Saccharomyces cerevisiae S288C: one gene and its partners. The protein of the gene in region 1 interacts with the protein of each later gene in a biochemical or structural test. Each region holds a gene or a part of one and is shown in the gene's direction. Other genes may lie near its edges. The genes, in order: KAP95, NUP100 and SRP1.

Region 1 (3,600 bases):
GACAAAGAAGGCATTAACCTCGTTGAGTGAAAAGAGTTGTGCTTTTCACAGCATGAGTATTCCCCCCCACTATATATGAGCAATCAAAATACGCCATACTCATCCATGCGATGCTCAACCAACTGGTTTATATCGTGAGTTCTTGGCAGAACCATCCTCAATGCCGGGGACCCTAAATTTAATCTTCGTTCTTTGCGGATACGGTCACGCATCCGCAGAACAGCGCATCCGCTGTCGTTGTTGGAGTTATGGCCGCGATAGTAGGAACGGTCGCAGAAGGTATCGCGTCGCAATCTCAGTTGAGTGCCAAGGAAAGGGCCCTCTCCACTGTACGTCGTAGACATGTTTGTATAAAAGGGCTGCAAGGTGTGGTCTTTGGCAAGCGATTACGCTGCAATGTTGGGGGCAGGAAACGGTCGGGCGGTCGGCTTGTAGTGTATATATATATATGGATATACATAATCGTATGCATATTTATGTGTAGAGGTTCGTTTCTCTTGCTCTGAAAGTGTCGAAAAGATAACGCAACAGCTGGACGGCATGTCAACCAACGCAAAAGAGTCTGCCGGTAAGAATATCAAGTATCCATGGTGGTACGGAGGTGCAGCGGGTATCTTTGCTACCATGGTGACACATCCTCTTGACTTGGCCAAAGTCAGACTGCAGGCGGCTCCTATGCCCAAGCCCACACTCTTCAGGATGTTGGAGAGTATCTTGGCGAATGAAGGTGTGGTGGGGTTATATTCCGGCCTGAGCGCTGCTGTGTTGAGGCAATGTACATACACGACGGTGAGATTCGGTGCATACGACTTGTTGAAAGAGAATGTGATCCCACGCGAGCAATTGACTAACATGGCGTATCTTTTACCTTGCTCCATGTTCAGTGGTGCCATTGGGGGGCTTGCAGGGAATTTTGCAGATGTTGTAAATATCAGAATGCAAAACGACTCTGCTTTGGAGGCAGCGAAGAGGAGAAACTACAAAAACGCTATCGATGGTGTGTACAAGATATATCGCTACGAGGGTGGACTGAAAACCTTGTTTACCGGTTGGAAGCCTAACATGGTTAGGGGCATACTGATGACGGCAAGTCAGGTCGTTACGTATGACGTGTTTAAGAACTACTTGGTCACAAAATTAGATTTCGACGCATCCAAGAACTATACACACTTGACAGCGTCCCTGTTGGCTGGCCTGGTGGCCACCACTGTGTGCTCTCCAGCAGACGTCATGAAGACACGTATCATGAACGGCAGCGGAGACCATCAACCGGCTTTGAAGATCCTTGCCGACGCTGTCCGCAAAGAGGGCCCATCTTTCATGTTCCGGGGGTGGTTGCCAAGTTTCACTAGACTGGGTCCATTCACAATGTTAATTTTCTTTGCAATTGAGCAATTGAAAAAACATAGGGTTGGCATGCCAAAGGAAGACAAGTAGGCAGATTTATATACATATAAACATAAAGATACATAGCAAATAAAGAAAGCAAGAAGAGTAAAGCTTGTACACGGTTGGTAGGTATAACGCAAAGGACGCTTTCGGTATTTTTTTTTCTATTCTTGTTCTTGTTGGAAACGTTGCAACCATGTCCCGATACATAGATAACCAGCATTCCTCATGCAGCGATCAAATGGATAGTCAGTCGCAGGCCACTTCCTACCGATGTTCCGATAAATGTATCATGTTAAACGAGTATAGAATTCTTTGGCGAGAAAGAAAATTTTCGAATTTTGCTGGAAGGGCAATAAGGAAAAACTTGGATGAGAGAACCAAGGAAAAAAAAATAAAAAAAAAAGAAAAATAACTGCGAAGAGAGGCAAATATACGTAAACTCTCCAGTTTCTTTTCTTGTATTTTTCGCTTAAAGAACAGATATCATTAAGAAGTAAAGGATAATATTACTGGAGAATTATCTGTCCTTTTTCTCTTTATATTTGCAAGGTTTTTAGGGGTAGAATAAAACTGATTTAACAGTAATCCATCATATCACACAAGGAGCAATGTCCACCGCTGAATTTGCTCAACTATTGGAGAACAGTATCTTAAGTCCCGACCAAAACATTCGGTTGACTAGTGAAACGCAATTAAAGAAATTATCTAATGACAACTTCTTACAATTTGCAGGTCTTTCTTCGCAAGTGCTTATCGATGAAAATACAAAGCTAGAAGGGCGTATTCTAGCGGCGCTAACTTTGAAGAACGAGCTGGTGTCCAAGGACTCAGTCAAGACGCAGCAATTTGCACAACGTTGGATTACACAGGTTAGTCCAGAAGCTAAAAACCAAATTAAAACTAACGCGCTGACCGCATTGGTCTCCATAGAACCGCGTATAGCAAATGCAGCAGCTCAATTGATTGCGGCTATAGCAGATATTGAGTTGCCCCATGGCGCATGGCCAGAGTTGATGAAAATTATGGTTGACAATACAGGTGCGGAACAACCAGAAAATGTCAAGAGAGCCTCTTTATTGGCCTTGGGTTATATGTGTGAAAGTGCAGACCCTCAAAGTCAAGCCTTAGTTTCTTCATCAAACAATATCTTAATCGCTATTGTCCAGGGTGCGCAATCTACGGAAACTTCCAAAGCAGTCAGACTGGCAGCTCTGAATGCTCTTGCAGACTCTTTAATTTTCATCAAAAATAACATGGAACGCGAAGGTGAAAGAAACTACCTTATGCAAGTCGTCTGTGAAGCCACTCAAGCTGAAGATATAGAAGTTCAAGCAGCTGCCTTTGGTTGTTTGTGTAAAATCATGTCACTATACTATACATTTATGAAACCTTACATGGAGCAAGCCCTATATGCATTGACCATAGCTACAATGAAATCTCCAAATGATAAAGTAGCTTCCATGACTGTGGAATTCTGGTCCACTATTTGTGAAGAAGAAATCGATATTGCCTATGAGCTCGCTCAATTTCCTCAATCTCCTTTACAGAGTTATAATTTCGCTCTCTCTTCTATTAAAGATGTTGTCCCCAATTTGTTGAACCTTCTAACGAGACAAAATGAAGATCCAGAAGATGACGATTGGAATGTTTCCATGTCCGCAGGTGCATGCTTGCAGTTGTTTGCCCAAAACTGTGGCAATCATATCTTAGAACCTGTATTGGAATTTGTTGAACAAAATATTACCGCTGACAACTGGAGGAATCGTGAAGCTGCTGTAATGGCCTTTGGTTCCATTATGGATGGCCCTGATAAGGTCCAAAGAACCTATTACGTTCACCAAGCCTTACCATCTATTTTGAATTTAATGAACGATCAATCCCTACAAGTTAAGGAAACCACTGCTTGGTGTATTGGTAGAATTGCTGATTCTGTTGCTGAATCTATCGACCCACAACAGCATCTTCCAGGTGTCGTTCAAGCTTGTTTAATTGGGTTGCAAGATCACCCAAAAGTGGCCACAAACTGTTCTTGGACCATTATCAACTTAGTCGAACAATTAGCAGAAGCCACACCATCTCCAATCTATAACTTCTATCCCGCTCTTGTAGATGGTTTGATCGGTGCTGCAAATAGAATTGATAATGAGTTCAATGCCCGTGCATCCGCCTTTTCAGCCTTGACAACAATGGTTGAATACGCCACGGACA
Region 2 (3,835 bases), on another chromosome or scaffold:
ATTTATTAAAAATATCTTTGCTTGGTAAGAAAAAAACGTCAACGAAAATGACGGAGATATCTGACGGAAAAAAAAATTGATTTCGCCCAGGATCGAACTGGGGACGTTCTGCGTGTTAAGCAGATGCCATAACCGACTAGACCACGAAACCACTTAATTGTTGAATAACGGACATCTAAAGTCATATCTATAGTGCAGCAAGTTCTTCTTCAGCTCACCCCAGTCTCGCTAAAGGCATGCTTACTTTGCCGTAAAGAAGAAAGGAACGTTCAAAATGTGTTTGATGCGTAACTGTGATGATTTTCTATCATTTACTTGCATGATATCGGTGAAAATTCTAGCTAGATTTATCAATGCATAGAAGCAGTAAGTGATGCCACAGATATGAGCTTTTCTCTGTGGCGAGGTCTTTGAGAAATTAAGTGGCTTGTACAGTTTTCACATGACGATTGGAAATGTTGAAAAAAGAGCCTAAAAATAGGCCTTATCGAACAACATTAAACTAATAATCTTCTGGATGCGATAGTCTTACTTGATAAAAATCATTGGCGATATTGTGTTACCTGGATTATCAAGCTCGCCACTAAAGGTGTCTGGATCCTTACTCAATACAAAGTCCAAGGAAAGGTGTGCCACAGGAAGAGGTAGCATCCCTTTATTTCTTTTCAAGGAAAGAAGCATTTTCAATCACATATGTATACAATAGTCTTCCGTGTGGCTGCACCGCACCACCTTGCAGGTCCCGTGTATGTAGGAGTCGCATGCGAATAAAAAATTGAGAAAGATCATGGGGTTTTTTGTTCACGCGGGCCGCAGTTGTGGCTCCTCTGTCACTTTTTTGCCCTCTGCTAAGGGCAAAAAAGAAAAAAAAACGCAACGAGAAAATTAAAAGTGTGGCATTTCGACATCTATCGCCATTCGTGCGGCCATTTCTCGAAACAACGCTAAACTTTTGTTTCGACTGTGAGGCCCTAGAACAGTTCGATTCTGATGTAGGCAATGGAAGAAACAATCATATATAACTACAGAACCTAATGTTACATGCTTGCATCTCTCAGCTCCCGCGAATTTTCAAGTGAGACTTAATGGTAGCCATCTAGTAACTCATAAATCAACGACATTATATATCATCAACTACAATGCAGGCAAACCATTCCGTCAGTTACCTTTACGAATCAAGTACTTCAAAGAGGTCAAATGGGCTCTTTTCTCAAACACAAAAGCAAGGAAGTTTTCAAAAAGCTTTAAGTCAAACTCAGGAAGAAATAGAAGATGAAGACCTGATGGTAGACCTCAACACAGGATCTTTAACTCCCGTTAAGTTAAAATATTGGACTCAAATGAGTGCTATGACGGAAAAATTTGGTAAACTGTGAGACCAATTTTGGCGGTAATTTCGTTTAGCTGTTTTATTTTCACATTTTTAATTGTCAATGCTGGAGGTTGTTAAAGTTTGGCTAGCTGTTCTGAACAATCCTTGTATACCGGTGAGACTTTTTGTTATAGATATTGGCGATATTCATTTTTTAGGAAGGTGTTTTTATAGATTTTTCAATTTTTTTTGTGTAGATGCATGTTTTGATTACTTATGCATAGTACGAATTTTTAGTTTATTAAGCTATAGAGGTTTTTTTTTTTTTCACCTCTTTACCACAAATTTAATAGCTATTGTGTAGAATAACTTTTAATGGAAAACATTTGCAGTATTTTAGTATTTTTCTACCTGTTTATTGCAAGTAAGGGCAGCATTATCCTGATAGGAGTAGAGGTTAACCGCACATCGGAATGAGACTTCTCCAAGAACGTTCTCAAAGTAAAACATTTAGCATTAGGAAATTTCTTTGGTCGATTATTAGACAAAGATTAGATTGTATTATGTTCTGATGCTTAGTTAGAACGGAAAGTGTTACCCATCTTGCAATCACCGTGACACCTTAAATATTTGCCGTAAGCGAAGAAAAAAAGCATGAAAAAAAAAAGCATATTTATGCTGAAGTCATCTACAAATGACCACCGCTTTTGGACCTGAAGAGGAGAAGAAAATAACATATCGTAGAACAGTCTTTGTTAACCAAAATATTTTAGCTTTGATTCCGGACTATTAGTACATTGAATTTTTTCAGGTACTAACAATGTTTGGCAACAATAGACCAATGTTTGGAGGGAGCAACCTTTCCTTTGGATCAAATACGTCATCCTTCGGTGGGCAACAATCGCAACAACCAAACTCTCTTTTTGGAAATAGCAATAACAACAACAATTCCACCAGTAACAATGCCCAATCAGGATTTGGTGGATTCACTTCTGCCGCTGGCAGTAATAGTAACAGTTTATTTGGAAATAACAATACTCAAAATAATGGGGCATTTGGCCAGTCAATGGGTGCCACCCAAAACTCACCATTTGGGTCGTTAAACTCCTCAAATGCCAGTAATGGGAACACTTTTGGAGGATCCAGTTCAATGGGTTCTTTTGGTGGTAATACCAATAATGCATTTAATAATAACAGTAACAGTACCAATTCCCCGTTTGGTTTCAATAAACCGAATACAGGAGGGACCTTGTTTGGTTCGCAGAATAATAATAGTGCAGGTACTTCTAGTTTATTTGGCGGCCAAAGTACAAGTACCACTGGCACATTCGGAAACACCGGAAGTAGTTTCGGAACAGGCTTAAATGGCAACGGCTCTAACATATTTGGGGCAGGGAACAACTCACAAAGCAATACTACCGGCAGCTTGTTTGGCAACCAACAATCTTCAGCGTTTGGGACAAATAATCAACAAGGAAGTCTATTTGGACAGCAATCTCAAAACACCAATAATGCGTTTGGTAATCAAAATCAGCTGGGGGGCAGTTCCTTCGGATCAAAACCAGTTGGTTCAGGGTCGCTGTTTGGCCAGAGCAACAACACTTTAGGTAATACAACCAATAATAGAAATGGATTGTTTGGTCAAATGAATTCCAGTAACCAAGGCAGTTCTAACAGTGGATTGTTTGGACAAAACTCGATGAACAGCAGCACTCAAGGGGTATTTGGACAAAACAATAATCAAATGCAAATTAATGGCAATAACAACAACAGTTTATTTGGAAAGGCAAACACCTTTTCAAATTCCGCATCAGGAGGTTTATTTGGCCAAAATAATCAACAGCAAGGGTCCGGGCTGTTTGGTCAAAATTCTCAGACAAGCGGTAGTAGTGGACTTTTTGGGCAGAATAATCAGAAACAGCCCAATACTTTTACCCAATCTAATACAGGAATAGGTCTCTTTGGACAGAACAACAACCAGCAACAACAATCTACAGGTTTGTTTGGAGCCAAACCAGCAGGTACCACAGGATCTCTTTTCGGTGGTAATTCATCAACCCAGCCTAACTCTCTTTTCGGTACTACCAATGTACCTACCTCTAATACACAGTCACAACAAGGAAATAGTCTTTTTGGTGCCACGAAGCTGACCAACATGCCCTTTGGAGGAAATCCCACTGCAAACCAGTCAGGGAGTGGAAACAGTCTATTCGGAACTAAACCTGCCTCCACTACCGGCTCATTATTTGGAAACAACACAGCTTCTACGACAGTACCTTCCACGAATGGATTGTTTGGTAACAACGCTAACAATTCAACTAGCACTACGAATACGGGACTTTTCGGTGCAAAGCCTGATTCTCAGTCCAAACCTGCATTAGGGGGAGGGTTATTCGGCAATTCAAACTCGAATTCTTCCACAATCGGCCAAAACAAACCAGTTTTTGGAGGCACAACCCAAAATACAGGACTCTTTGGCGCCACCGGCACGAACTCTTCAGCAGTTGGTTCAACTGGTAAACT
Region 3 (3,835 bases), on another chromosome or scaffold:
TTTGTTCTTGAATGTAATAAAGACTTCTGTTTTATTTTGTTTTGTTATTTAGAAACAGTCTATCTGGTTTAACTTAAACGAGTGAGCTTAAGATAATCTGACTACAAGAAAACCAAGCTTCTATTACTTTGTTTCTTTCTCTTTTTTCTTTTTTGAATAAAGAATTTTCCTTTAAGGAGTAACTTAAGCATTTAGCTGCACATTAAACACTTTTTTTTTTACTTCTAACTCACACACTTTTGGAAGAACATTTATTTTTTCGACCTTCTTTCCCAAATACCCAGCGCTTTATAATTGAAATATGAAGTTCTCTTCTGTTACTGCTATTACTCTAGCCACCGTTGCCACCGTTGCCACTGCTAAGAAGGGTGAACATGATTTCACTACCACTTTAACTTTGTCATCGGACGGTAGTTTAACTACTACCACCTCTACTCATACCACTCACAAGTATGGTAAGTTCAACAAGACTTCCAAGTCCAAGACCCCAAACCACACTGGTACTCACAAGTACGGTAAGTTCAACAAGACCTCCAAGTCTAAGACCCCAAACCATACCGGTACTCACAAGTATGGTAAGTTCAACAAGACTTCCAAGTCCAAGACTCCAAACCATACCGGTACTCACAAGTACGGTAAGTTCAACAAGACCTCCAAATCCAAGACTCCAAACCACACTGGTACTCACAAGTACGGTAAGTTCAACAAGACCTCCAAGTCTAAGACCCCAAACCATACCGGTACTCACAAGTATGGTAAGTTCAACAAAACCAAACATGACACTACCACTTATGGTCCTGGTGAAAAGGCCCGTAAGAACAATGCCGCCCCTGGTCCATCTAATTTCAACTCCATAAAATTGTTTGGTGTTACCGCTGGTAGTGCTGCCGTAGCCGGTGCCTTATTACTATTATAATAAGCTTTGAATTGGATTTGAGAAATAAAGGAAGACCTAATTTTCTCCGGTTTTATGTTTTTTACCCCCCCTACCCCCTTCATCCTGAAGTAGTAAATTCTTTTTATTATACTATTTCGACTACTATGTGTTTACGTGTGCTTGTGCAAAAGTGAAATTTATTGTGATTGTGTTCTTTTTCTCTTTTTTTTATACAAAAAATGGAGAAAGGAAATTGGGACCTACGATTTAAAGAAGTGTTATTTCCTATTTCAACGAGTTAAATGAATGTGTGTGTTTCGTTGACTTGTAAGGATAGAGAAAGATCATCCAACTTTTAATCATGGTTTCCTTTCCTTTTTTATAGCAATCGAATGTGGAAGGAAAATAGAGCGGAGCTTGATAATTGTGTGTGTGAATGTCTTGCTTTCTCTTTTTCCTTATTTCTACGCTATACAAAAAGTGTGCTTTTTTCTTCTATTTTTTTTTCTTTAATGACTTTGTGTGTTTATTACCCTTTAATTAATTACCAAAAAAAAAATAAACTACGTTTTTAATTTCTAATTTATCAAAATTTCTTTTTTTCACATATAACTATATATTTATATGTCACCCTATTCAAGTTCGTTAGTTTTCTTTCAACGGTCCAAAATTTGGGATATCTTGTGTGTACTTTACTTTCTCCACTAACGATAAGACATCTGCTATTAGCCTATATTGGGCTTAATAAAAAAGGTATCTTCGTCTAGAATGATATATGTATACAATCAAAAGTTTAAAGCTAAATTTTTTATTAACAAGTTACTTTATCAAGTAGTAGTTAACTTAATCGACCGAATTAATTCAATAGTAATCAATTCCAATGCACCGAAGAGTTTGCCAGTCGAACTATCTAAGTGATACTTGTCCATTTTTCCTCGAAGCGCAAAAGAGATTACATCACCATTAACGAATTTTCTTCTTTTCTTTTTTCTTCAAGAGTTGATGGGGAAGGACTAGGAAGGAAACGGTTCAGATACGAATTTAGTGATTAATCATATTCTGCTCAAGAAGCGACTTGTAAGGTAAGGAAAACCCGCATTCACTGACGGAATAAGGAACAGGACCAACTATAAGCCTCCTTTTACACTCACATCTTCAGGCTTTATTTTGTTAAGACTGAAACATTTCCCACTTAATTGAAGTTACATCGTTATTTTATAGAACGATCTTTCTATTTTGTTTTTTGTTCACTTGATATACCTTCCCTTCTACATAACAAATTAATAAATATGGATAATGGTACAGATTCTTCCACGAGCAAGTTCGTTCCCGAATATAGACGAACAAACTTTAAGAATAAAGGCAGATTCTCTGCAGATGAACTTCGTCGTCGTAGAGATACACAACAGGTCGAATTAAGAAAAGCAAAAAGAGATGAAGCTTTGGCCAAAAGAAGAAACTTTATTCCCCCAACTGATGGCGCTGATTCTGATGAAGAAGATGAGAGCTCCGTTTCTGCGGACCAACAATTTTACAGCCAGTTGCAGCAAGAACTACCACAAATGACTCAGCAACTTAACTCTGATGATATGCAAGAGCAATTGAGTGCTACTGTTAAGTTTAGACAAATTTTGTCTAGAGAACACCGCCCTCCAATTGATGTCGTCATTCAAGCCGGTGTTGTTCCAAGATTAGTAGAATTTATGCGTGAAAACCAACCTGAAATGTTACAATTGGAGGCTGCTTGGGCTTTGACTAACATTGCATCAGGTACATCTGCTCAAACAAAAGTGGTTGTTGATGCTGACGCTGTACCTCTTTTCATTCAACTATTATATACCGGCTCCGTTGAAGTTAAAGAACAAGCCATTTGGGCCTTAGGTAACGTTGCAGGTGATTCAACTGACTACAGAGACTACGTTTTACAATGTAATGCCATGGAGCCAATTTTGGGTCTTTTTAACTCCAATAAACCATCTTTGATCAGGACCGCTACGTGGACTTTATCCAATTTATGCAGGGGTAAAAAACCACAACCAGATTGGTCAGTGGTCTCACAAGCGTTGCCAACCTTAGCGAAATTAATCTATTCGATGGACACTGAAACTTTAGTTGATGCTTGTTGGGCTATCTCTTATCTATCTGACGGACCACAAGAAGCTATTCAAGCAGTGATCGATGTTAGAATTCCTAAAAGACTTGTTGAATTACTGAGCCATGAATCGACTTTAGTCCAGACTCCTGCTTTAAGAGCTGTAGGTAATATAGTCACTGGTAATGACTTACAGACTCAGGTCGTTATAAATGCTGGTGTCTTACCTGCGTTAAGACTTCTGCTAAGCTCTCCAAAAGAAAATATCAAGAAAGAAGCGTGTTGGACCATTTCCAATATTACGGCTGGTAATACTGAACAAATTCAAGCGGTAATTGACGCGAACTTGATTCCTCCATTAGTTAAACTTTTGGAAGTTGCAGAATATAAAACTAAAAAAGAAGCTTGTTGGGCTATTTCCAATGCCTCTTCAGGTGGTTTACAAAGACCAGATATCATAAGATATTTAGTATCTCAAGGGTGTATAAAACCATTGTGTGATTTGCTAGAAATTGCTGACAACAGAATAATTGAAGTTACCTTAGATGCTCTTGAAAATATTTTAAAGATGGGTGAAGCTGACAAAGAAGCTCGTGGTTTGAATATCAATGAAAATGCCGATTTTATCGAAAAGGCTGGTGGTATGGAAAAGATTTTCAACTGTCAACAAAATGAAAATGACAAGATTTATGAAAAAGCATACAAAATCATTGAAACCTACTTTGGTGAAGAAGAAGACGCCGTAGACGAAACTATGGCTCCACAAAATGCCGGTAATACTTTCGGCTTTGGTTCTAATGTCAACCAACAATTCAATTTTAACTAACTGAATGTGAAGAAAAAGATCAACTAAATAAGTTTATTCA

Evidence for each region.
Region 2: the proteins of KAP95 (region 1) and NUP100 form a complex in vitro, tested with the Saccharomyces cerevisiae proteins (4 studies listed by BioGRID).
Region 3: the proteins of KAP95 (region 1) and SRP1 form a complex in vitro, tested with the Saccharomyces cerevisiae proteins (6 studies listed by BioGRID).

The regions. Positions count from the first base shown.
Region 1 is NC_001144.5:824,814-828,413, reverse strand, and holds the start of KAP95 (karyopherin beta), read left to right. Parts: upstream 1-2,000; coding exon 2,001-3,600. Other genes in the region: DIC1 (Dic1p), read left to right, coding at 541-1,437. UniProt on the Saccharomyces cerevisiae protein: Importin beta subunit that functions in nuclear protein import through association with the importin alpha subunit, which binds to the classical nuclear localization signal (cNLS) in cargo substrates.
Region 2 is NC_001143.9:308,067-311,901, forward strand, and holds the start of NUP100 (FG-nucleoporin NUP100), read left to right. Parts: upstream 1-2,132; coding exon 2,133-3,835. Other genes in the region: YKL068W-A (uncharacterized protein), read left to right, coding at 1,140-1,376. UniProt on the Saccharomyces cerevisiae protein: Functions as a component of the nuclear pore complex (NPC).
Region 3 is NC_001146.8:282,094-285,928, forward strand, and holds SRP1 (karyopherin alpha), read left to right. Parts: upstream 1-2,166; coding exon 2,167-3,795; downstream 3,796-3,835. Other genes in the region: YNL190W (uncharacterized protein), read left to right, coding at 302-916. UniProt on the Saccharomyces cerevisiae protein: Functions in nuclear protein import as an adapter protein for importin beta nuclear receptors. Binds specifically and directly to substrates containing either a simple or bipartite NLS motif. Promotes docking of import substrates to the nuclear envelope.